4 linked regions of the Drosophila melanogaster genome follow. The protein of the gene in region 1 interacts with the protein of each later gene in a pairwise test. Each region holds a gene or a part of one and is shown in the gene's direction. Other genes may lie near its edges. The genes, in order: Tsr1, CG17127, CG13044 and Aldh.

Region 1 (6,885 bases):
CATATCAATTGCATTTCCACGGCCCGGTTTCCTGTTTGGCATTGATAAAATAATAAATTAAATATCCTTCAATTATAAAAATACCAACAGAACAAAGTGGTGGTCGTCGATGGAACGCGCGTCAAGCTGCAAATCTGGGACACAGCTGGTCAGGAGCGATTCCGGAGCGTTACCCACGCCTATTATCGCGACGCGCACGGTGAGCTACCCACGAGTATTATATATTATTATATATTTTTATTATTCAATATTTAATCTTCAAGCATTTGTGGAAAAATGCAGTACTAAAACCCAATGCTCGATCTGTTTAGAAAACCGAAATTCTCCAGGTCAATGAAATTCCTTCAAATTGTTAGGGGTAATTTTTATTCAAAGAACATCCAGTTTTTCCGTTATTTCCTCGTGCATATAAAGAAAACAGAAATGGAGTGATTTCGTAACACACGGAAATGTGATCATTTTGCACATATTTAAAAAAATGTATTAGTTTGATGTTATATCTAATACACCACATATTTATTGAAGTTTGAATGTATATTTTAAATTTCAATTACTTTATTTTTTATCGAATAACTATCCTTGTTTCGGATGCACTTTATCCTACCTTTGCTACTGAACCTAATTGCATTTTTCAACCGAAGCTCTACTGCTGCTGTACGACGTGACCAACAAGACCACCTATGACAACATTCGCGCCTGGCTGGGCGAGATCCGGGAGTACGCGCAGGAGGACGTGGTCATCGTTTTAATAGGTGAGAGATCGGGTTAAAGGGCCTTGATTGAACTTAATCAACTTACGAGCTTCGAATCGAATCAACTTTTCGCTTCAATCCGCAGGCAACAAGGCCGACTGCAGCGGCAGCGAGCGGCAGGTGAAGCGGGAGGATGGGGAGCGTTTGGGGCGGGAGCACAACGTGCCCTTCATGGAGACCTCGGCCAAGACGGGACTCAATGTGGAGCTGTCCTTCACAGCGGTGGCCAGGTGAGTTCTCCTTGCAACGCCATCCTAAATTCGATTTATTTCCAATTGGGAAAAAGACATATTGATTTAAAAATATATTAAGTATCTTAGCTATGTAAATTTGATCAAATTCACAAGATAATGCTTGGAATAGTTGAAAAGTTCAGTTTTCGTTTTTCATTTCTTCGAAAATGAAGGTATTCAGATTTAAAGCAAAGCTTTTACTATGAGGTTTCTATAGGCATTACTATAGGTTTCTTACAACTTGTATCCATAATATACTCTGTTTTAGGCTTAGTACAGAATTGATTAATACAGAATTAATTTTAGGAGATACGTATATTACTAGAACGTGAAACCACTATGGAATTCTTCGAAATTTCCCCGATCAATACATTTAATATCTTCATTCTCATTTGCAGGCAACTAAAGAGTCGCGGCTACGAGCACGGCGATGATGGAAAGTTCAATGTGCATGATTTTGTGCGTGACAATACAAAGGCGCGCTCGGTTTGCGCCCAGTGCAGGAACATGTAATTGAAATTGGCCAACTTGCGGATGACAGAAGAGCCATATCCTCCCGATCCCGCGCACAAAGACAACAATAAGCCCGCAGCCAGTTGAGATGGGAAGTGGGGCACTCGAAAGGAAGCAGAAGGACACGTTCGATGGCGCAGAGTCGAAATTCTGCATTTATTGAAACAAACCCAAAACGACAAAAAAGAAAATCACACAAAGACACTCGATAAGATTGCACCAATTTTGTAAGACCCTAGACGGAAGGTAGAGTACTCGGCATGTTTTGTAGGTAAATGGGGATTTCGGGGCGGAACGGGACGCGATACGCATAATTTTTATAGGGCAGGCCATTGGCATTGCGGCATCAGTAGGCCCGGTGCATAAATATTAAACTATATATATATATATATATATGTATATATACATACAAATATCCGTATACAACTGCATAAATTACTTTAAGGAGAGAGCCGACGGAACGCAGCAAAATCATGCCACATTGAGATTTATCCAGCACGCCGTTGGATTTCACTGAGGATAGAACTGCTTGGAGAATATATACCTACCTAAATAATCCAGAGGAGATCTCGGGATACTACAATTCCAATTAATGAGAAACAATCACTCAATTTACCTACTATTAGTTCTATTGATTTACTCCTAATTGTTAAGTGTTATGGACTATCGTTAAGTTTTAGGTCCAAACGAGGCCCTGAAAATTGTTTACACACCCCACTAATGAATACGCTACGCAATTAAGTTAATTATTACTAATTACGCCTGTGTAAGCCCAATCAGAAACCCATTCCCAAACCAATTTGAACAGCGCGCCCAGGCAAAGGTGTTGCGAATAATCAAAGGCAGTTGAACAACTTGAACATATACTATACTGAGCTACTACAGCAAAAGATAAAGAATCCGATGCATGCATATATCACGGAATGAATGTAAACTAGCTACTAAAAAGCGTTATATTCAAGCAGACGTCAAGTCTATACCATAAACAGCAAATACATATTTACATTGAATGTGGTTTAAAAAACAAGGCGGCAATTTGTTTCATTTTTGGGAAGTGCCCTACAGTACAATAGCATATTTTGAAATTTGCGCCCAATACAACAGTTGTTAGCAGCTGCTAACTCACATACTCACCACTGCTGTTAAGCGCTACAGGCGATGTTTTGCAAAACATCGCCCAACATCGATATCAAGAGAAACGTCGAGCTATCGAGAAAAATATTGAATCGACAGAACATGTGCTCTAGCTCCAGCCTCGGGAAACAAAACAGCGTAAATTGATAGGAATTTGATAGTTAATTACCTGGTAACTATGGCTGATCATGCTTTTCATCGGCCCGGGCCGCTGAAACAAGCGAACAAGGCTCACAAAACGGGTCGTCATCGCTCCAAAGGAGCAATAGACAATGCCCAAAAAGGTATGTGGAAATCTTAATAGCATCATCCAGAGTTCTAACCCACATGGGCGTTCACCTTTCACAGGGAAGATTGGACTGAGGCCTATCTCCCACAAGCACAAGCAGCAGCAGCGCAAGGAGCAGCGTCGCAACCAGATGAACCAGCTCAGGAAAAACAAAAGGGAGGAGGTGTTGGAGCAAAAGAGAAAACTAGGTGGTCAGAACACAGCTCCCTTTCTTGTGTGCCTACTACCCATGCACGAACAGATTGATCCCATGTCCGCATTGGAAATCCTAAAGAGCTGTGACAGCGAACTGGTCGTGGAGAACTCCCCAAGTGGCATTGTTTACATCAATCTTCCAAGGTTCAAGCAGCGTTTCGCTTTTGTCACACCACCAGTGGGACGCGGAAATGAGCTAATTGCCCTGGATTACCTTAAGGTTTGCGACACCACCCTGCTTTTGACCACCGCAGCCTTTGGCGATGACGAGATCTTCGACCGCTGGGGTCAACGGATCTTTAACATGATGTCAGCCCAGGGAATACCCACTCCGGTAGTAGCCCTCATGGATCTGGAGTCAATCAATCCCAAGCGTCGTCCTGCTGCCAAGCAGGCGGCTCAGAAGGTCATATCTAAGCTGTTGCCCGAGGAGAAGATCATGCAATTGGACACCGCTAGCGAGGCCTTGAATGTTATGCGGCGCATTGGAGGCCAGAAGAAGCGCATCCTCCATAACGTCGCCAATCGGCCACATCTCTTTGGAGATGTGGTAGAGTTTAAACCGGGCTCAGATCCCAGCGACGATCTGGGCACACTAGAAGTTACTGGTTTCTTACGTGGACAGTCTCTTAACGTGAATGGTTTGGTCCACATTCCCGGCTTGGGTGATTTCCAGCTAAGCCAGGTGGTGGCCCCTCCAGATCCGTATAAGCTAGATAAATCGCGCGATGGAGAGAATAGTGAGGTGCGTCTCTTGGATCGCAGTGATCCCTCTAAGCGCACTTCCCTTCAAAGCGAAAACATACCCGACCCCATGGACGCGGAGCAGACGTGGCCCACCGAAGACGAGATTGCCGCATCGCAGGCGGAAACTAAAAAGATGAAGCTTGTTAAGCGTGTACCCAAGGGCTACAGCGAGTACCAGGCTGCCTGGATTCCGGATGTGGAGGAAGTGGAAGACCCAGACGGTAAGGATGACGATGACATGAGTGAAGATGATGATGACGACAAAGAAGACGATAATGAGGACTTCATGTCGTGCGACAACAAATCCTTTGAGGATGAGTACGAGAAGCGGGACTCAGACACTGAGGAGTTCCAGGACACCGTGTCCGTGGCCTCGGAGGCTGCCATCAACGACGAAAAGTACGATCAGCAAATGGACTTCCAGGAGGAGCGTGAGACCCTGAAGAAGCTGCAGCAAGCACGCACGGATCAGCTTTGGCCCGATGAGATAGACACTCCTTTGGATGTGCCCGCTCGCGAGAGGTTCCAGAAATATCGCGGCTTAGAGTCCTTCCGAACTTCGCCTTGGGATGCCAAGGAGAATCTTCCCGCTGACTATGCTCGCATCTATCAGTTCCAGAACTTCGACCGCACCAAGCGTAGGATTCTTAATGAAGCCAAGGAGTTCGAGGGCGTTCTGGTAGGGATTTTCCAAAAATTCGGTTTTATAAGATTATAATGTTTTTGCTTTCAGCCTGGTTTATACGTCACTCTTTATGTGATAAATGTTCCTGAGAGCCGCTGGAATGCCTTCAAGTCCGCCCAGCTTATGGACAACATTATTGTATATGGAATGCTACCCCATGAGCACCAGATGTGCGTAATGAACGTGGTACTGCAGCGAATGCCCGACTCGGAGGTGCCGCTGAAGTCTAAAGAACAATTGATAATCCAGTGCGGCTATCGTCGCTTTGTTGTGAATCCCATTTACAGTCAGCACACCAATGGGGATAAGCATAAGGTAATATTTGGACTAATTTGTAATTGACTATTTATTAATGGATTATGTTTATCCAGTTCGAACGCTACTTCCGTCCGTACGAAACAGTTTGCGCCACGTTTTACGCACCGATTCAGTTCCCTCCGGCACCCGTGCTGGCCTTCAAGGTGAATCCCGACTCCACCCTGGCGCTGGTTGCCCGTGGACGCCTGCTGTCCTGCAATCCAGATCGTATTGTTCTCAAGCGCGTTGTTCTCAGCGGTCATCCCATGCGTATCAATCGCAAGTCGGCTTCTATTCGCTACATGTTCTTCTACAAGGAGGATGTGGAGTACTTCAAGCCTGTGAAACTAAGAACCAAGTGCGGACGGCTGGGACACATTAAGGAGTCACTGGGCACGCACGGCCACATGAAGTGCTACTTTGATGGGCAGTTGCGATCCTACGACACTGCTTTCATGTACCTGTACAAGAGAGTCTTCCCCAAATGGACCTACGAAGAGTGTCTGGTGCGAACGGCGGAGCACGAGCGACAACATGCGTCGGCAAACAGGAGGAGCTCGCAGCAAGTGGCCATGGAAGAGTAGAGGTGTGTGCAAATGGATGGATAAATAAGTGATCGATGGACAGTGCGAATAACTTCTGAAATGAGTTTATATTATTGTTGTTACATTTAAACCTCTAAAAGTATGAAACCTACGAAGTGTCCATTCGGGAAATGTCACCCGAAAAGTACATAAAATATGTACACAAAAATCCCGCATCGATAATTTTTTATATGTGACTGCGTTGTATAATAGGAATAATAGAATTATATTCACAAACAATTGTCTTAACTTAATGGTAGAGGCAATACAATATACATACATATAACATGGATACGTTTAAAAGCTTGTCGCATTGCACAAGGATAAAGAATCGGTCAGGTTCTCATAGAATATGGCTAATACAGTTTTGTGGGGGGACAGGACATAGGGCAGGGATGGGACTATGATTATTCAGTAATTGGTGGACAGACACTTGCGACGCTTCTTTTGCAATTGCTCGATCTGTTCGCTTATTTGGATTGGTGTTTGGAAACCTCTTACAATGCTGTTGACAGTCAGAACCGTGGCGATAAACTGGGTAATAGATATGTGCCAGGATTCGGAGATGTTAGTGCTGCTGCTGTCCCCACTGCTTGTTGTTGTGGTCCTGGACTTTCCGCTCGCCTGACGAAGCTCCTCTTCTAGAGCCACAAATAGACGGGTAGTGCCAATGGGTTCTGGTGCAGGAGTGGTGGGATTGCCATTGCTATCCGGTTGCTGAAAGAAAAATTTAGTTTTGTTTTGATTGTTGGGAATCTTTGAAAAGACAAAGCAAGTCATACCTCATCGCCACCCATATTTAGCTGGGTAAAGCTCTCCAGGCTGGGCTCCTTTTTAATATTGCTGTTTCCAAGCTCCAAGAGATTCTCATCTAAAAAATGAACAATAGTTTTGAATGGTACTTTCACGTTTTAAAGGCTATACTTACAAGCCCTTTGCATCTCTTCATCCTGGACCAGACCCATGATCTCTATGATACTGCGCCACAACAGCTGAAAATTCTCCTTACGCATGTGGGGAATGCTGTGTTGCGAATTTGAAGCGCCTTCGTCCGGCTGGTCCAGCAGATAGCCAAGACTGCCCAAGCTTCGCAAGTCCGTGGCATTCGAGTCAACACGTTCTAGACGTGTGGCCGCAACAAGGTCGCTGATCTGTGAGAAATTCGATATAGTCTCGACATTGAGAAGCATGTGATCAGCGGCCGCAGACGAGGCTGCTCCGGCTACCACATCAGCTCCCACTCCCGCTTCGGGCGGCGTAATGCGTGCCGCTCCCAGATCTGAAATATCCGAAAATGTGTCAATCGATTCGTAACGGCCCTGCTGGCGAAGCTGTCGCTGGAGTTCGTCTTCGTCCCGCCCAGCATCTGTGGATGTGGCAGTACCCTGGAATCCCGGCAGGTCCACATAGAAGGTTGAGCTGCGATGCGCCAACGAGGAGGTGTTAGAGTTCACCG
Region 2 (4,064 bases), on another chromosome or scaffold:
TCACGATGTCCCTGCAGCGTAATTTTGGGGGTCTGAAAGGAATTGTAAAGCTGATTACAAGTCTAATTATAAATGGCAAGACTACTCACTCTCACACCGCTCTCTTTCATCCGCTTTGAGCTGCCCTCGACTGCATCGTCCAGCTCTGCTGACCACACCTTCAACATCGTGTCCCAAGAGCCCGTGGCAAATCTCAGACCATCCGGACTCACGCTGACACTGTCGACGCCTCGCTCGTGGCCCTTGCACACGGAGACACATTCCACCGAGTTGGAGCCCACGTTCCACTGCCACAGCATGGCGGTCTGATCCTGCGATGTGGACACAAAACGTCCCGTCTCCTCGTCCAGCGATATCCAGTCCACCGCCTTGATGGGCGCCGTGTGACCAGAAATAGTGAGAATGTGCTTGCCTTTGTTGGTCCACAAATTCAGGGTGTTGTCGTAGCACCCGGAGAGGATCCACTTTCCTCTAGCCTTCACCGCGGACACCCAGTCGTCGTGCAGCAGGCAATCCTGTGGCTCTGGCGCCGGGAACCGCTCCACATACTCGATCTCGATGGCGTCCTCGAAACTGATGGCTTTCTCGCGCAGGTGATCGCACAGCCGGCCACGCAGGTACTCATCGAACACCAGGAAGTCGAAGTCCGTGTCGGAAGAGCCATCTTTTTGACGCAACAGTGCGTTCACGAATGTGTTTAGCTCCACGGTGGTGACGGTGCCATCGATGGCATAGGGCACATCAGGCACGGCATAGCTGAAATAGGGTATCTTGATTAAAATCTTCTACTGATAGAGATTCTAGATGGACACTCACTGCTCCTGCTTGGTCTTCAGGTGCACCTGCACCTGCCCCTCGCCGTTATCCACATCCATCTCCTGGCCCACGTGCGTTTCTTTTTGGCTGGATTGGGATTGGGGTGTTCCCGCGTGTGTTTGCTACGGTTATGACTTAACTCCTGCAGGTGGTACAAGGTGTTGACCACTAAACTAGAGGTTCTTCCTTCGGGAGATCGTTGTGTAAAATTAAATTGAAAAGAAGCGTGTTTTTAAACGAACGATGGTAAATGCAACAAATACATGCAAAAACACTAAAAAACGCCGAAGCGCATGCCGGAATAAGAGTTATCGCATTGCTATCGCTGTGCTCTTATCGAAATGCCTTATCGTCTTGTTATCACCCGTTACTACTAAGCGGAGTTTTTAAATTCAAATTTTTTGGTGCGTTAAAACTATGCATAATTATAATAGCTTGCTTAAGTGTAATTTGCCGATTACTTTAACAAATAAAAAGATATTAATAGAGTGTATGGTATTTCTAATCACTTTGATTTTGTTTCTCTAAAATATTACTCATCAAATTCGAAAAACCGCTGATTGCATAACCACTGCTTTGTCGTTTCTCCTTTTTTTTATTACAAAAAAATCTTACAGAGATACGAGCCAATTCGCAATACTGATAATTAAATATTTTTTGCAAGCAAATCAGGCGCAGATGATTTGCTGTAATTTAGCCACTAACTGCTTCTCTTCCTTTTGATCGTCTTACGCAAAATGGAAAAATAAGAAACCAAAAAATGCACAGCCGCGGCGGCAATTTGTAAATGACTCTTCAATCTTCAAAGACTGGTAATTGTTAATATTTTACGTTCAGGCTATTAATATGAACCAGATAGCACCTGAAAGACCACTTTGCGGCCGAGTGTTCACTGGAAGGTTAAATGCCACTTGACATTTCTGAAGTGGCGCTTAACCTTCGCATCAAAATTGGACAAATGCCCAAGAAAATAAAAAATTTCCAATAAAAAATGTATTCACCTTAATGGGTCGATGGGGATATTAAGCTGGGAAGTAATAACACTTTTTTTCGGTACTACTACTTTGTGCCACCATTTTGGCTTTACAAAAAACCAGAAACGAAGCGAAATGAAAGAGTTAAAGCTTTCCAGATTTTCGGGGCTTCCAGCGGCGCAGCTCAGCTTATAAAACGGGCATTGCGCCTGCGCAGCCGAAACATTACAACAAACGACGCGCGCAAGGTAAGACCATAACCAAATCCAGTCCGCATCGAGCGCCACTGAATCCGTGCATCTCTTGCAGTTGAATCCCCTCGAGAAAACCCACAAAATGAAAGTGTTCGCGCTGTGTTCGATGCTCGCCCTGCTCCTGGCTGGTGCCCAATCCCTGCCCCAGAATCGCGAGGGTGCCGCCTACACGAACGAGGCGATCCGGCAGGCGCAGCAGACGCTTCTCATCCCCAAGGATGCCCAGATCCAGAACGTGCAGGAGGGCATCGAGCTGGGCGCGTACGAGCAGATACCCGGCAACCAGCGCATCAATCTCTTCGAGATCCTCGGCGACCAGGTGCCCTCCGAGGTGATAAACAACCTGCAGTCCCAGGTCGACCAGATCGGTCGCAACTAAGTCGTAGGACCACTTCCTTGGTTAGCTCATTGCATTTCGTCCTCATTGTTAAGTTTCTCACTAATAAAACGAAAACATTACAAGTATTTAATCGCAGCGTTTATTTACCACCCAAAACAATTGGAAAAAAAAATCCGAAAAAAATATTAAAAGCGAAAGTGATCCTCCCCGAAAACCAGTTGGTTCCTCTGCAAACGAACTCTCGAATCGAAACGAGTGATTTATTGGTTTGATTTGTGGCTTTTTCCTAACGATCTTCGCCGACTTTCTCCTCGCTGATCCCGCTGCGCATACGAATTAACAATAAAAGTCGGCACATTGCTATCGCATGGCATGGTATCCTATCCTCAACCTTGTTACGTAACCCGGGGATGGGAATGGCGATGGAGTCGCTGGTAACCCGAGTGGTTGCCCCGCCGGCAACTTTTGTGCTGCGGTCGTGATGCAACAGTTGTCGTCGTGATTGTTTTCCTCGGACTTTTATTTATTTTTTTTTGTATTTTGTATTTTGTTGCTTTTTGCTGGGCTTCGGTTTGTTTATTTAATTTCTGGTAATTGCCGCCACATGCACTTGCATGTGTAATGAGTTGTACGTGGAGGGGGCGTGGCATGCCCGCAGGTACAGAGGGGCTGCTTGCATAACATCTGGGTGGGTCCGATGATCGTAGGGTATTTTATAGGGCCCTGATTTTTGCATCATTTGTGGTAATAAATATTCCCAAATATGATATGAACCACTTAAAACTTTTATCTTGTGTGTTTAGAATTACCTCATTTTTATTTCGTACTTCATACATTGTTAAATGAGCTTCAATCTAAATTTACGCTAGTTAAAGTATTTTCATAATATATTTTAATTATCTCAAAAATTCTGTGTGGTATGTGTGTGAGTGATAGTGTGCACGATCATCGCCTAAATAAATTATGTTCATATAGGTAATTAATTATTTATTATACTCGTACGTACTAACTAAAGAATGACTGCGTTTTCATTTTGACACTTTTCTCCGCTCGTCAGCTTTGAAATTCACTCGAGCTTTTGATTTTCCTTTCTAGGAAAATCCAACGATAATTATCAAGACTCAATGTCAAAGTAAAATTAGTTTAAATTGTATATAAATTATGGTTAAAGTAGGAGTAAATTGCTTTAAATTAAAACTTTGCCATATTCAGTCTAAACTTAAAAGCTTTTCAATTCAAAGAGGACTACACAGTTGGCCATTGCATTAAACCATTTCTCAAAATCATTTGCATTCGTTATGAAATAAATTACAAATTAAATAAAATCATGATGGGATAAAACAAGTTAAATAATTTCTCCTTCGTTTATGTTGCGACTTATTCGATGATTTTCAAATGTGGGGGACAATGGTTGATTTTGTTTTCAGTGCACTTAGCTCAGTACGTATAAATTAGAAGTATAACTAAGCAATATGGATTGCCAGATAATGGAAACATTTCGTTATTGCATTTGGGGAGCCCAGCTTTGCTAATCTGCTAATCATACATTAGTTAGTTAATGATTACGTTCGTAAAGTTGATAAATTCAAAGGTCGTTCTATGCAGTCTATGGAAATGATAATGGAATCTTCTTCCCCTTTCTTCTGGCTACTTAAACCTAACAATCTGCCGCCATTCTGC
Region 3 (4,352 bases), 5.0 Mb from region 1:
CAAATGGCTGCTGTATAAAAAGATAGATGCAGCCCGGCAAACGGCAACAGTTCTCGCAAGAAACTCAAACCGATCACTCCCAATTCCAAACAGTCAATACAGACCTAACCCATTTCCAAAATGTTCAAGTTGGTGGTATTGTCTGCTCTGCTCGCTGTAGCCGCTGCCCGTCCCGGTCACCTGTTGGAGTCCTCCCCGCTGGTCTACGCTGCCCCAGCAGCGACGACCATCGTCCAGGAGCCCGTTCTGGCCAAGGTGGGAGCCGTGGTCAAGAGCGTACCCACTGCCGTCAGCCACCAGAGCCAGTCGGTGGTGCACAGTCACGCTCATGTTGTCGAGGATGTCGTTGCTCCCGTGGTGAAGTCCACTCCGGTGGTCAGCTATGCTGCTGCCGCTCCAGTGGTTCACACCTCCTATGCCGCTGCTCCCGTTGTCCACACCAGTTACGCTGCTCCTGCTCCCGTTGTTCACACATCCTACGCCGCCGCCGCTCCCGTTCTGGCCACATCCTACGCCCAAGTGGCCGCCTCCTCGCCGCTGACCTACACCGCCACTGGTGTGTGGTAAATCCATGGCCAGGCCCACTCCGAATCCTACTCCTCTCACTGTTGACAGGTGACCAGGATGCATGTGCATCGCTGGACGGTTTTGTGATACGAATTTTAAATAAATAAATGTTTTGCTTTGAAATCGTGCAAGTTGTTTTCTTCACCCTGCGGGTCATTTATCTTCCTGTAGTTCCTAAAGAGTCTAAACAGATGATAGTAACAAATAGCTTTTATCACTAATATATAGATGAAATATATATACTAATACAAAGGTACTAGAACTGAAAAAGTAAATTAACTGTGGAACTCATTGTTCTTGGTAAATATATAATGAAATTCGGGGCTGATTTACTTTGTCTTGAAATTCAAAATGTTAGGCGAAATGTTGACATTTTGACGTGAATTTAGACTTTTTTTTTAAACATTTTCCGGCGCGTGTGGACTTGGTCTTAGCTCGCTTGGTGTACTAAAAGTGTCCTGGTTCAATGCCCTGTGTCACGTATCTACTTACATCCTGCTGCACCTGTGCCGTGGGTAAATATTGGACACCCATATGTCGGAAAAACGCCACATATGTGGGTGAAAATTAGCTGGGTGACAGCGTGGGCATCCCGCTGGTTGGGAATTGCTGACATTTTCGGGCAGTGAACTCAACGAACCATTAGCCCTCTTCAAGGGCATTTCTAAAAGTCATTGTACCTCTGATTTAAACGTTTTTAATAATACAGGCTAAAAACATTTTAAATCACTTTTTTTACAATTAAAACAATACATTAGTTAAAATGTTTGGTGCGGAAGTGTGTAATCATGGGTATCTCCATCTTTAACTTGGCAGCAAAATCAGCAAGGGGCTGGAAAAACATGGTTAGTGCTCCACTCAATCCGCGATCCACCTCTGTCACGTTCACCTCCCTTCTGACTATCTCGTGGCGGCCATTAACATATCCATTGGTGCAGTGGATGCTCAGAAGGATTAGAACAAATATCTAGAAAGAAATCCATTTAACAGAGTATTTTTATGAATATTTTCTATATTTTCTTACCGCTTTCAACAGGTAATCCATTTGTAGTGTTATCAACGGCGGGTTAAATGCAATCACTGGTGCATTATTAAAATTCTACGCATTTATATACCAAATTCTGTTCAATTCTTCAATACGAGTGTTCTGGATGTTCTGGACAGGTGCAGTCACAATTTTACGGAATAGAAAAATAAACACAGACAGTTTACTTGGAGGAAAGCAACACTTCAGTGGTCGGATTAGGTTTAAAAATGGTCAACAAAACTGTACATATATATCTAAATCCATTTTCTTCCTACAAAAAAGTTTACAAGCAGTACATATATGGCGGGATTTGGCGAAACGTGCCGGGATCTCTAGCGGGATTTCTGGCGGGGCCTTTCGGGCTCCCGCGGGATTTCGGGATAAAAGGTAGAAAGTTGAGATTAAGTATGCAGATTCCAGAGACATATACATTTGTTGACCCACGTTGTAAAAAGACGCCACACCCACAGTTTTGAAAAAACTGTTAAAATTTTCATTTAATAATCAAAGAGGTTGTTGAACTTTCTCGTTCGCATTCCCACTAGCTGATAAGCGGGTATCTAATAGTCGAGTAAATATACTATAGCGTTCTTTCTGTAGCTTTTACTCACTACTGTTTTGAATGACCATTTTAATCAAGCAAAAATCATTGCGAATTCTTGGAATTTAAGTAAATGCGAGTAAGCCAAGCGAAAGTGTTTTCCTGTCATTATAAACTTGGCCTTGAATTGGGTCGGAAGCGATTACGATTGGTTTCCAATTAGAAGTAATCTCGGACCCTTGGTTCTCCCTCCGCACCAGAAATCGATCTTCAGGTGAGTACGTGCGACTAATGAGCTCCGAGTTGTGAAATGAAATCAAGAGTGGGTATGGCAAACAAGTGCGAGGCCGAAAATAAGTGAAGTAATGAGTAGTGGGAAAGGGGCAAACTCGGTTGAGGAGGCGAGCGAGCCGAACAGAAATTGGCCACGAATAATAATCTGGTTTATGGCCAAGACCCGAGACAAGCGGCCAGAATCCGTTCAGGCACGTTCGACTTATGGCTTATTGTATCCGCCTCAATTGACAAAAGCCGGCGAAGTGCGTGTGTGTGTAAAATGTGAAGTTCAAGTATAAAAGACGTTGACAGTCCCTCAGCTCAACACATTCGAAGTCTGTCTCCCTATCCAGCGACACCAGTCGAAGAAGCCAACACCACACCAATATGTTCAAATTGGTAAGGATCGCAGGGATATCCATATGGCACCACTTTGGAATACTAACTCTTATTCTCGTCTCCAGTTCGTTCTCGCTGCTCTTTTGGCCGTGGCCGCCGCCAAGCCCGGTCACCTGGCTGCTGCTCCTCTGGTCTACAGCGCTCCCGCCACCACCACCGTCGTCCAGGAGCCCGTTCTGGCCAAAGTGGGTGCTGTTGTGAAGAGCGTGCCCACCGCCGTGTCCCACCAGAGCCTGACCCAGGTGCACAGCACCCCCGTGGTGGAGGATGTGGTGGCTCCCGTGGTCAAGACCACCGCTGTCCACTCCGCTCCCGTGTTGGCCGCCGCACCCATTGTGAAGACTTTGGCTCCCGTCGCCTACTCTGCTCCTCTGGCCTACTCCGCCCCGGTGGCCTACTCCTCGTATGCCGCTCCTCTGACCTATTCCGCACCGGTGGCCTACTCGGCTCCCCTCTCCTACGCCGCCCCAGCTCCCCTGCTGCACCACGCCCCTCTGACCTACGCCGCTGGCTCCTGGTAATGTGGTGAGGATCGAAAGAGTTTGAACTGTGCCTTTCTAGTTGAAAAAAAATAAGGAAATCGAAAAAAGAATAAATTAAATTGTGAATACCAAACAGATGATGTGAATTTCTTAATGATGTGGGGATATATAAATTAATTCTGAAGTTTACAAAGAAGCGTTCTAAAAAGTGTTCCTACATTTCTGAATGTTTTAAAAACAGAATTAAATTCATTTGAAGTACAAAACTTATTTAACAATGGTATCGATGCACAATAACTAAATACTTCAATAACATTTTGAATAAACCAAAGCTTGAATTTTATTTGTATTTATTTATTTGTTGTCCCAGCAAATAAACAAAAATTTTTTTAATTGAATATTAAATTCAGGTTGTCTTTAAAATCAACAAAATTTAGACTTACTGAAATGTGATTTAAGAGACGCAGTTGCACCCAGCCATATTGGTTTGGTATGTTTTTTGATTATGTACGTTTCCAGAACAAGAACTAATGTTTTCCAATATTACTATATATATTCCAGAGGCTAGTTCACTAAAGCTATCATAGGTACTATGATATTACCTTTACGTCGAACGTTTTTATTTATTGCATATTTGATGTACATTTAAGTTTGCAATACAGAAGAGGTAATATGTTACACATAACCAAAAATGAGATTTTCTGTGGAGAAGGGTTTCTTTGTTCGTTGTTCTACTTCAGATAAATGCTGGGGTAACTGGATACTCCCCAGATTCCCGGCTCGTACCATCCCGCACTGTTGCCCGCGTATCCAAGTGGGGCATACGAGATCGAAGTAGCTGGAGCATAGGCTGCCTTCAGGATGGGCGTGTGATCCACAATGGGGCGCCAGTAGGGACGCTTCTCGTGCACCACTGTGGAACTCTGGTGTGAGACGGCGGCTGGAAGGGCATAACTCTCGTATCCTACGACACTGGGAGCATATTCCACGTGCTCATAGCTGGGCAAGTAGCTGGGGCGAGCCTGGATCAGGACAGCGAATACTCCGCACAAAAGGAACA
Region 4 (7,909 bases), on another chromosome or scaffold:
AGACGTGTTGCGGGGATTTTCTTGAGCGTGGCCTTATAGGTTTCATATCTGCAATAAAGACCATAATTGTTGTTTACCAAATTATCTGATAAGTTTGCATTCATGTGATTAGACCCTGCCGGCTTACGGGTTAATAACTTAACAAATTACTCATGCCATAACTATCCACCGACCGCTTGACCCTTCTGTTGCCATTATATCGAGCCATAAAACCCGACTCACCGAACAAGTGAGCGATAAAAAAAGGTGGAGCAATTTCGAGGGAGGAAAAGGGTGAAGCAAGTGTAAGCAAAGTCCAGTCATAAGCCATTTGCATACATTTCGCTTATATTTTTCCATGGCTCTACGCGGATCTTCCCTTATTTTTTCTCCCTCCCTTTTTTACGTTGTGTGCCAAAAGCATAAAGCATTAGGGTTTGTTGGTTATGGTTCTGGCCAAGGTCCTAAGTGGGTCACGTAGATTTTGGTCTAGGATTTCCTTTGTTTGATTTGACCTTTGACAGAGATCATTACCGCACAAAATTGATGGATTTTCCCTTTATCCTGTTTGACGTCTGTTGATTTTAGCTGACCAAACAAAAGTGAATTTATTACATTCTTATAATTTGAATATTCTGGCACTGCTTTGGTGTGAGAAAATGCTTTTAGCGTTCCACTTTGTCGATTTTGTTTCAATAACTACTTAAGTTGAAATACACATGTTTTATCATATCAAATGACATACTTAAATAACCTTTCTTAAGCATCAGAAATTAAATTTATTTATTCGAAAAGCTTTAAATGCGCTTCCATATTTGATTAATAAGATTAATAAGATTAATATTTCCCTCATTTATATTGTGAAATCAAAACAATGTTCTGAGTACATTTCCCTCTGGCCAGTTCAATTTCATTTCCCGGGAAGCACAAATATTACGTGTGTTAATTATATTCCCACCTCTGCTCTACACACCGAGTATCATACTACCACACACAAGCCAAACTTAATTTACGTAATCATCCATAAAATTGTGCAAGCGCAAGGAGCGACATCGACTCCCACCAGGCGTAATTAAATTCAATTGAAAGTAATTTCCAACAAATTGTTGTAAATTTCATTTTCGCATTTATAACCCACATATGTATGTACATATACTACATGGTACTGCGTCCAGCAATCAGCCATCAATGATGGCATTTAAGTGCGTGCGCCTGAGCCGAGCTGTCCGAATGCAATTTATTTTTTACGCCAAACTGTTTACTCTCGGTTATTAAATATTTCATGCAGCTGAGGACAGCAACCGCAGCGACAGCAGAATCATCAATAACCGGCACCGCCGCATAACAATTGCCATTAAAGTTTATTCGGGCGGTTTCGGCGTTGGTAATTGGGCCCTTCGGTGGGAAAATCGAGGGGAATGGAGCCGGAATCGACCAAATGTTTACTCAGCCTCCATTTCAGTTGCATGTGCTTTTCGGACGGAAGGGTGAGACGCATTGTATTGAATTAGTTTTCCGACTGTGATTGCTTTCGTTCGCCAGTTTTGGCCAACGATGCGTATGCGTGATTCTCTTGACAGCCGTCGCTAAGCTTTCAATTTACGAGTGAAATAAATTTCGAAAGATTTTGACAAATTGGCCTAAATCGCATTTAATGAATTATGTTGAAATAAATTTCGTCCTCTTTTCGCTCATCATCAATTTTGTGCTAGTAATATGGCTGACAGCCGAAAAGTATGCCATAGCCATTTTTATTATGCGAATGCTCGTGCAAGGGGATGAAAACGTTGAGAAGCAAGCGAAATAATGAAGAGAGACAGCAACATAATAAAAATCAAAGTAATGTTCAATAATAGACGAACGATTTCGGACATTTCACTAATGCATTACTTTAATTCAATAACTTTTGGGCAAATAAATTAGCGCAATTCTTTGTATTGTACCAAAATAAATAATAATACCTTATTTATTATTACTATACAAGTCTTGCTAGTTAACAGTAAACCATCTGGCGCATTCTGTTCCACAAGTTATATAATATAATTGTGAATACAAATTCTAAAGCTCATTGATTGATTGGCCTGATAACTGTTTAGATGTTACAATATCATTTGGTTTTAAATTCATTTCCTCCCATCGTGAAATTATAAAAAATAGCTAGTCATTCTAAACGAAAAACACAAAGTTCTGGAATATTTTTCTTTTAAGCGAAATCGTATGATAATTTATACCGTGGAGGTTTGCCAAATAAGCTACAAAAGCAATCTATAGTTTCATAAATTACTAAAGAGTATCTTAACGAGATAAACAATATTATAATAACCCCACCCGGCATAATGAAATCTCCACATGCAAATGCAATTTTATTCAAGTACTTTTCGTACTTAGTACTTAGTTATTGCGTTTAAGACTCTTTGTTATTGATTTCCTTCTCTTTCTGGTTTCCCTATTGAAGAGATTATCTATCTATCTCGCTCTGACTTTATCAGCACTTATCAGTGTTGGCAATGAGCTTTTAACTACTTTATGCCTATCTACTTTTTCTCTTAAAACCATCCCATACTAATAACTACATAATACCTCAATCATATACTTATTATGATTTTGCTCCACCTAATTAATTATATAAAACAAGGTATACTATGTGGAAATTCTTTTAAGTTATAAAGCCAGCTGTGTGTATCAGTTCAAACCGTTAGGTCACAAAAATTTTATTTATTTTAATTTAAAAAAAAAATTATTAAATTTTCGGTCTAAATTGTGTTATTGTTCTTTATATGGCTCCTAACAGTTAAAAATCTTATAGATAAGGGCGACCATATGTAGCTATTTTTGGCTATGTTCTTCTGACAGCACTTGTGGCGTGGCGCGAGTTCCCCTCTAGACACTTAAATATTCCTAAGTAGTTTTCGCGAGCGGCAAAGCTACGAAATCGTTTCAGTTGTCCGTCGACCGCTGAACAATTAAGACGCAGTTCTAGTTTTGCGCTCTCAGTACTTTTCTCTAGTTTTTCTATCCGGAAAAGTATAAAAAATAATCTATTCAAAATGCTGCGCGTTTTGAAGACCGGTGCCCTGCTGCGTTCCCAGGCCAAGAACTTCGCAGCAGCTGTTGCGAACTACTCCTCCCTCCCGCAGCCACAGACAACGCCCGATATCCTCTACACCGGGGTAAGTCCTAATCCTAACTCAAATCCAAAAAAAAAAAAAAATAAAAAGTGAAAAGCATTATAAATAAATTGCGGCATTTGTAGCAATCGCACTTGCAATCTGAGTAAAGAACTCAACAGGAAAGCAAGCATTTGACTTGTTTTTGAGCTGACCTTGAGGCGAGCAACTACAGCTGTTATCGCCCTAGAGCCCCTCCTCAAATACCCTACATATGCGAATCCAGTTTTTAGGTTCTCCGGTGTAGGTCTTCCCCATTTCGATTTTAACGAAAAGAAATTGGCAAATCAGCGCAACGCAAGCGAGTCTCACCGCATTCAGATCACGTACACCAAATGTTTATCGGCAGATGTAGGGGATTGTAGGGGATTAGGCTGCTTAAGCGAATCGAAAGACCGGCGACTAAAATAAATATACAAAGGCGATATCGAAAAAGCAAAAACAACAATCGCATATGTAGTTCGCCGGCTATTGTTGTTGTTATTTCTGCTTCAGCTTCTCATTGTTTGCCATACCCGGTTTCTTTGTTACGTCAGCAGTGGCGCTCGCACACGCAAAACAAAAATTTGTTTGCCGCAAATTCTCATCATTTATTCTTCTCATCGCCTCGCGCTTTCATTTCTTCTCTAGGGAAATTTGCATAAATTTAACCATTGTCATTTTTTATCTTTAGTGTCACCAATTAAAACTAGCGTTCGTTCGATTTAATTGAAAAGGAATTGCGGTTAGGAAGCGAGCCAAATGTGGTTTTTGTCCAGATGTTAAATGGGATCCAATGAAATTAGAGCAGTTCGTATATAGTAAACATTTTTGCAGAAAAAACTTGAAAATCCAATGTGCACGGTTTTTATTTGTCTATATATATTTCAGAATTTTTAAAGAAACTCCTAGCTTACATCGCTCTTAAACTGTCTTTAAATAATTGTTAGTGTTCTATGTTTTCCAAAAACAAGGAAGTTCTTAAAAATTTGTATATAATAAATATTTTTGCAAATGAACTTGATTTTCAAATATGCATGTCTTGCATACCAATATATTTTTGTTTTTAAGTCTAAAAATGAAATCTTGCATACCTCTTAAATTGGCTTAGAATAGCAAATAACATATATATAGACCATATATGTACATATATGCTGAACCCTAAAGCAAAATATTTCAATTTTACAAGAATTGAGCATTCGTCTATTTTGAGTGAACTGCATATTATGCAACCTTTATAGTACTTATACATATGCCATAATCTGAGAATCTGCTTTCATAACAAGAAATATCAGCCCATAATGTCTCGCGCACCACAAACGTTCTAATCTCTTGATTTATCTTATTGTATTTGTGTTTGTTGGCATAGGCAGTTTCCACTTCTTATCACCGGCAGCCCTATTATTTTGGGGGTCTTTACTGGGCGAGATAACATGGCACACTTATAAGATTGGCTTCCCTAATCGAACCAGTATTAGACTCGTCTAGCCAGACCCCCGAAAACTAATGCACACGTGCGTCGTCGCTATGTTTATATTTTGCTATGTCTGGCGGAAAGTTTTATATTCGCAAGCACATTGTGAAATTCAAAAGTAGATGTATGCAAAAATAAAAACAAAAAGAAATAAAAATGTTCTATAAAATAGGATGACGTGAGGGGTTGGACGCGAGGGCTCACTTCGTTTCAATTTTAATCAGTTAGCCGGTAAACGTTTTAGATTACCCAGACTGGGGGATTGTCAGATTCAGGTAGCCATGCGAACGAAACAATCAGTCAATTGCGATAGAGGAATAACACGCACGGCAGGCAATAATAACAAATAACAGCAGTCAAGGGCTTATCATATAGAGGAGTGGCTTGTTTGTCAATCCAACAAAACGATGTAAAATACAAATGAATTCAATAGAAGAGATTGTGAATATGATATGGCACTAATTGAAGCTGTTAACTACTTATTGCAGGTATTTATCAACAACGAGTGGCACAAGAGCAAGTCGGGCAAAATATTTGAAACCATCAACCCGACCACAGCGGAAGTCATTGCCGAAATTCAGTGTGCTGATAAGGAAGATATCGATATTGCCGTCCAGGCTGCACGCAATGCATTCAAGTGAGTGTGCAATTTGGATATAAATCGACTTTGCTTATTAATAACAACTCTATGATCACTAGGTTGGGATCTCCATGGCGTCGCATGGATGCCTCGGAGCGGGGTCGCCTGCTCTACCGCCTGGCTGATCTCATGGAACGCGATCAGGTCTATCTTGCCGTAAGTATCAAGAAATATTTTAATAATTCAAGGTCTTTAGTTGGAAGTTTAAAATATTAATATAGTTTATATATACTTATATGCTTATCAAAATTTAATTTTCCGACAGAGTCTGGAGACCCTTGACAACGGCAAGCCCTACAGCATGTCCTACAACGTGGATCTCCCGACTGCCATCAAGAACCTGCGCTACTTTGCTGGATGGGCGGACAAGAACCATGGCAAGACTATTCCCATGGACGGAGATTTCTTCACTTACACCCGCCATGAACCCGTGGGCGTGTGCGGCCAGATCATTCCCTGGAACTTCCCCATCCTGATGATGGCCTGGAAACTGGGTCCCGCTTTGGCTACCGGCAACACCATTGTACTAAAGCCCGCTGAGCAGACCAGTTTGACTGCTCTGTACATTGCCCAGTTGGTGAAGGAGGCTGGCTTCCCCGAAGGTGTGGTCAATGTGGTTCCCGGATTTGGAACTGCTGGCGCTGCCTTGGCGAACCACTGCGATGTGGATAAGGTGGCCTTCACCGGTTCCACCGATGTGGGCAAACTTATCCAACTAGCATCGGGAAATACTAACCTAAAGAGAGTGACACTGGAGTTGGGAGGCAAGTCGCCAAACATTATTCTGTCTGACACCGATATGGACTACGCCGTCGAGACGGCTCACTTTGGTCTGTTCTTTAACATGGGCCAGTGCTGCTGTGCAGGATCTCGTACTTTCGTGGAGGACAAGATCTACGATGAGTTTGTCGAGCGCAGCGCGGAGCGGGCTAAGAAGCGCACCGTGGGCAATCCCTTTGATCTGAACACTGAGCAAGGTCCTCAGGTGAACGAGGAGCAGATGGAAAAGATCCTTGGAATGATCAAAACAGGCAAGAAACAGGGCGCTAAGTTGGTTGCCGGTGGCAGTCGCCCAGAGGGCCTACCCGGCTACTTCGTCCAGCCCACGGTGTTCGCCGATGTCCAGGATGATATGACCATTGCAAGGGAGGAGATCTTTGGACCGGTTCAGCAGCTGATCCGCTTCAAGAAGCTGGATGAGGTCATCGAGCGGGCTAACAACTCCGAGTACGGATTGGCCGCCGCCGTTTTCACCAAGGATCTGGACAAGGCCAACTACATTGTGGGTGGCCTGCGTGCCGGAACTGTGTGGGTAAACACCTACAATGTCCTCGCTGCCCAGGCTCCGTTCGGTGGCTACAAGATGTCCGGCCATGGACGCGAGAACGGAGAGTATGCTCTGTCCAACTACACGGAGGTCAAGAGCGTCATCGTCAAGGTTGCCCAGAAGAACTCCTAAGAAGGACCAGATATTTCCTCCAAGAGGGACGCTTAATATGGTTCGCCCTACTTAGGTGCTCTAAATTCCGGCGATAATCTACATCTCTATAATGAACATAGTTTTAAATACATCTGTTTGATATACCTAACTACGGCCAGTTTTTGTATTTTTTCCATTCGGTTAGTTTTCTTTAAGTGTACATTTCTATCTAGTACATATGTAATGCAGCTATAAATCAGTGCAGGGACCTGGTCAAACAATTCAAAAGTTGTTTTATTTACGTTCTATCTTACTCCCCTTTGCCCTACAGAGTTTTATGTGTAATTCCAATGTTTGCCAATAGATTCTTGGCTTTGTTTATAGCACACTCTGAACTGAATGTCATTATTTTGCTTATCCCACAACACTGAGATAGGACAAACAAGCACACAGATACTTCCTCACAGCTTACACTGCACGAAACATTGATTGGTTTAGCATAGAGCCAAAAGCAAATGGATAAAGTGAGCAACCAGCACACGGAGCTCAGGGAACTAGCTTGCTCGTCCATCTAGGAGAAATAAGCTTACATTTATTTGCATTTATTGGCATTTTCCATCGTTTTGTTTTAGCCTCGAATGCCTGAGTGTGTGTGTTTGAATCTGTGTGTGGATTTCTGTGGCACTAAGACTCACATATCAGGACGTACTCAAACTTACACAGACACATCGGGTCGTTTTTCATCCAACATCATGGCATACAAAAAAAAATTGGAAAAAGTTTTCCATTAGATTGGACAGCAGCTGAGCGTGTCAAGTGCTTTGCGGTTAGTGGAGAACTTGTTCTCTTATTTTCCACTTTGTTGTTTTCGAAATTGAATAAGCGCATTTGTATGCAATTTATTTAAAATTTGTATTTCAATTTTTGTGATGACCAAAGGCCAAAGTGCAAGTGGTTATTTGTTTTATTTATTGCCTAGCTTTGAAAATGTCACTTACGTTGCGGAAAAGAGTCCAGAATCTTATTTGCGGTCTTGTGGAAAAAAATTTAATTTAAGAAATCGATTCAATTAAACTAGGAATGTTTATGTATGTATTGAATTTAACTGAATATTGCCAAGCGTGTTTGAATTATGAGATTAAATATTTCATATCAGTTTGTATTTACCGTAGAGTGCAAACTTGTATAAAACAAAAATGTATTTTGCATTCCGTTTGCAGGCGCTGCAAACCTAATTCGATTTGTGCCAC

The links.
Region 2: the proteins of Tsr1 (region 1) and CG17127 interact in a two-hybrid assay, tested with the Drosophila melanogaster proteins (one large-scale study listed by BioGRID).
Region 3: the proteins of Tsr1 (region 1) and CG13044 interact in a two-hybrid assay, tested with the Drosophila melanogaster proteins (one large-scale study listed by BioGRID).
Region 4: the proteins of Tsr1 (region 1) and Aldh interact in a two-hybrid assay, tested with the Drosophila melanogaster proteins (one large-scale study listed by BioGRID).

The regions. Positions count from the first base shown.
Region 1 is NT_037436.4:21,332,513-21,339,397, forward strand, and holds Tsr1 (Tsr1 ribosome assembly factor), read left to right. Parts: upstream 1-2,702; 5' UTR 2,703-2,810; coding exon 2,811-2,916; intron 2,917-2,980; coding exon 2,981-4,542; intron 4,543-4,596; coding exon 4,597-4,863; intron 4,864-4,919; coding exon 4,920-5,429; 3' UTR 5,430-5,720; downstream 5,721-6,885. Other genes in the region: Rab26, read left to right, coding at 91-199, 642-752, 838-982, 1,384-1,498; Tbc1d8-9 (TBC1 domain family member 8/9), read right to left, coding at 5,841-6,146, 6,212-6,300, 6,358-6,885. UniProt on the Drosophila melanogaster protein: Required during maturation of the 40S ribosomal subunit in the nucleolus.
Region 2 is NT_033779.5:10,768,859-10,772,922, forward strand, and holds CG17127 (uncharacterized protein), read left to right. Parts: upstream 1-2,009; 5' UTR 2,010-2,038; intron 2,039-2,072; exon of another isoform or gene 2,073-2,099; 5' UTR 2,100-2,126; coding exon 2,127-2,423; 3' UTR 2,424-2,512; downstream 2,513-4,064. Other genes in the region: CG6724 (uncharacterized protein), read right to left, coding at 1-32, 90-756, 817-875.
Region 3 is NT_037436.4:16,301,560-16,305,911, reverse strand, and holds CG13044 (uncharacterized protein), read left to right. Parts: upstream 1-2,733; 5' UTR 2,734-2,798; coding exon 2,799-2,810; exon of another isoform or gene 2,811-2,875; coding exon 2,876-3,331; 3' UTR 3,332-3,422; downstream 3,423-4,352. Other genes in the region: CG13043 (uncharacterized protein), read left to right, coding at 121-567; CG43249 (uncharacterized protein), read right to left, coding at 1,322-1,534, 1,592-1,612; CG4982 (uncharacterized protein), read right to left, coding at 4,024-4,352.
Region 4 is NT_033779.5:9,384,742-9,392,650, forward strand, and holds Aldh (aldehyde dehydrogenase), read left to right. Parts: upstream 1-2,647; 5' UTR 2,648-3,026; coding exon 3,027-3,149; intron 3,150-5,087; coding exon 5,088-5,236; intron 5,237-5,298; coding exon 5,299-5,395; intron 5,396-5,504; coding exon 5,505-6,698; 3' UTR 6,699-6,826; downstream 6,827-7,909. Other genes in the region: Shawl (Shaw-like), read right to left, coding at 1-48.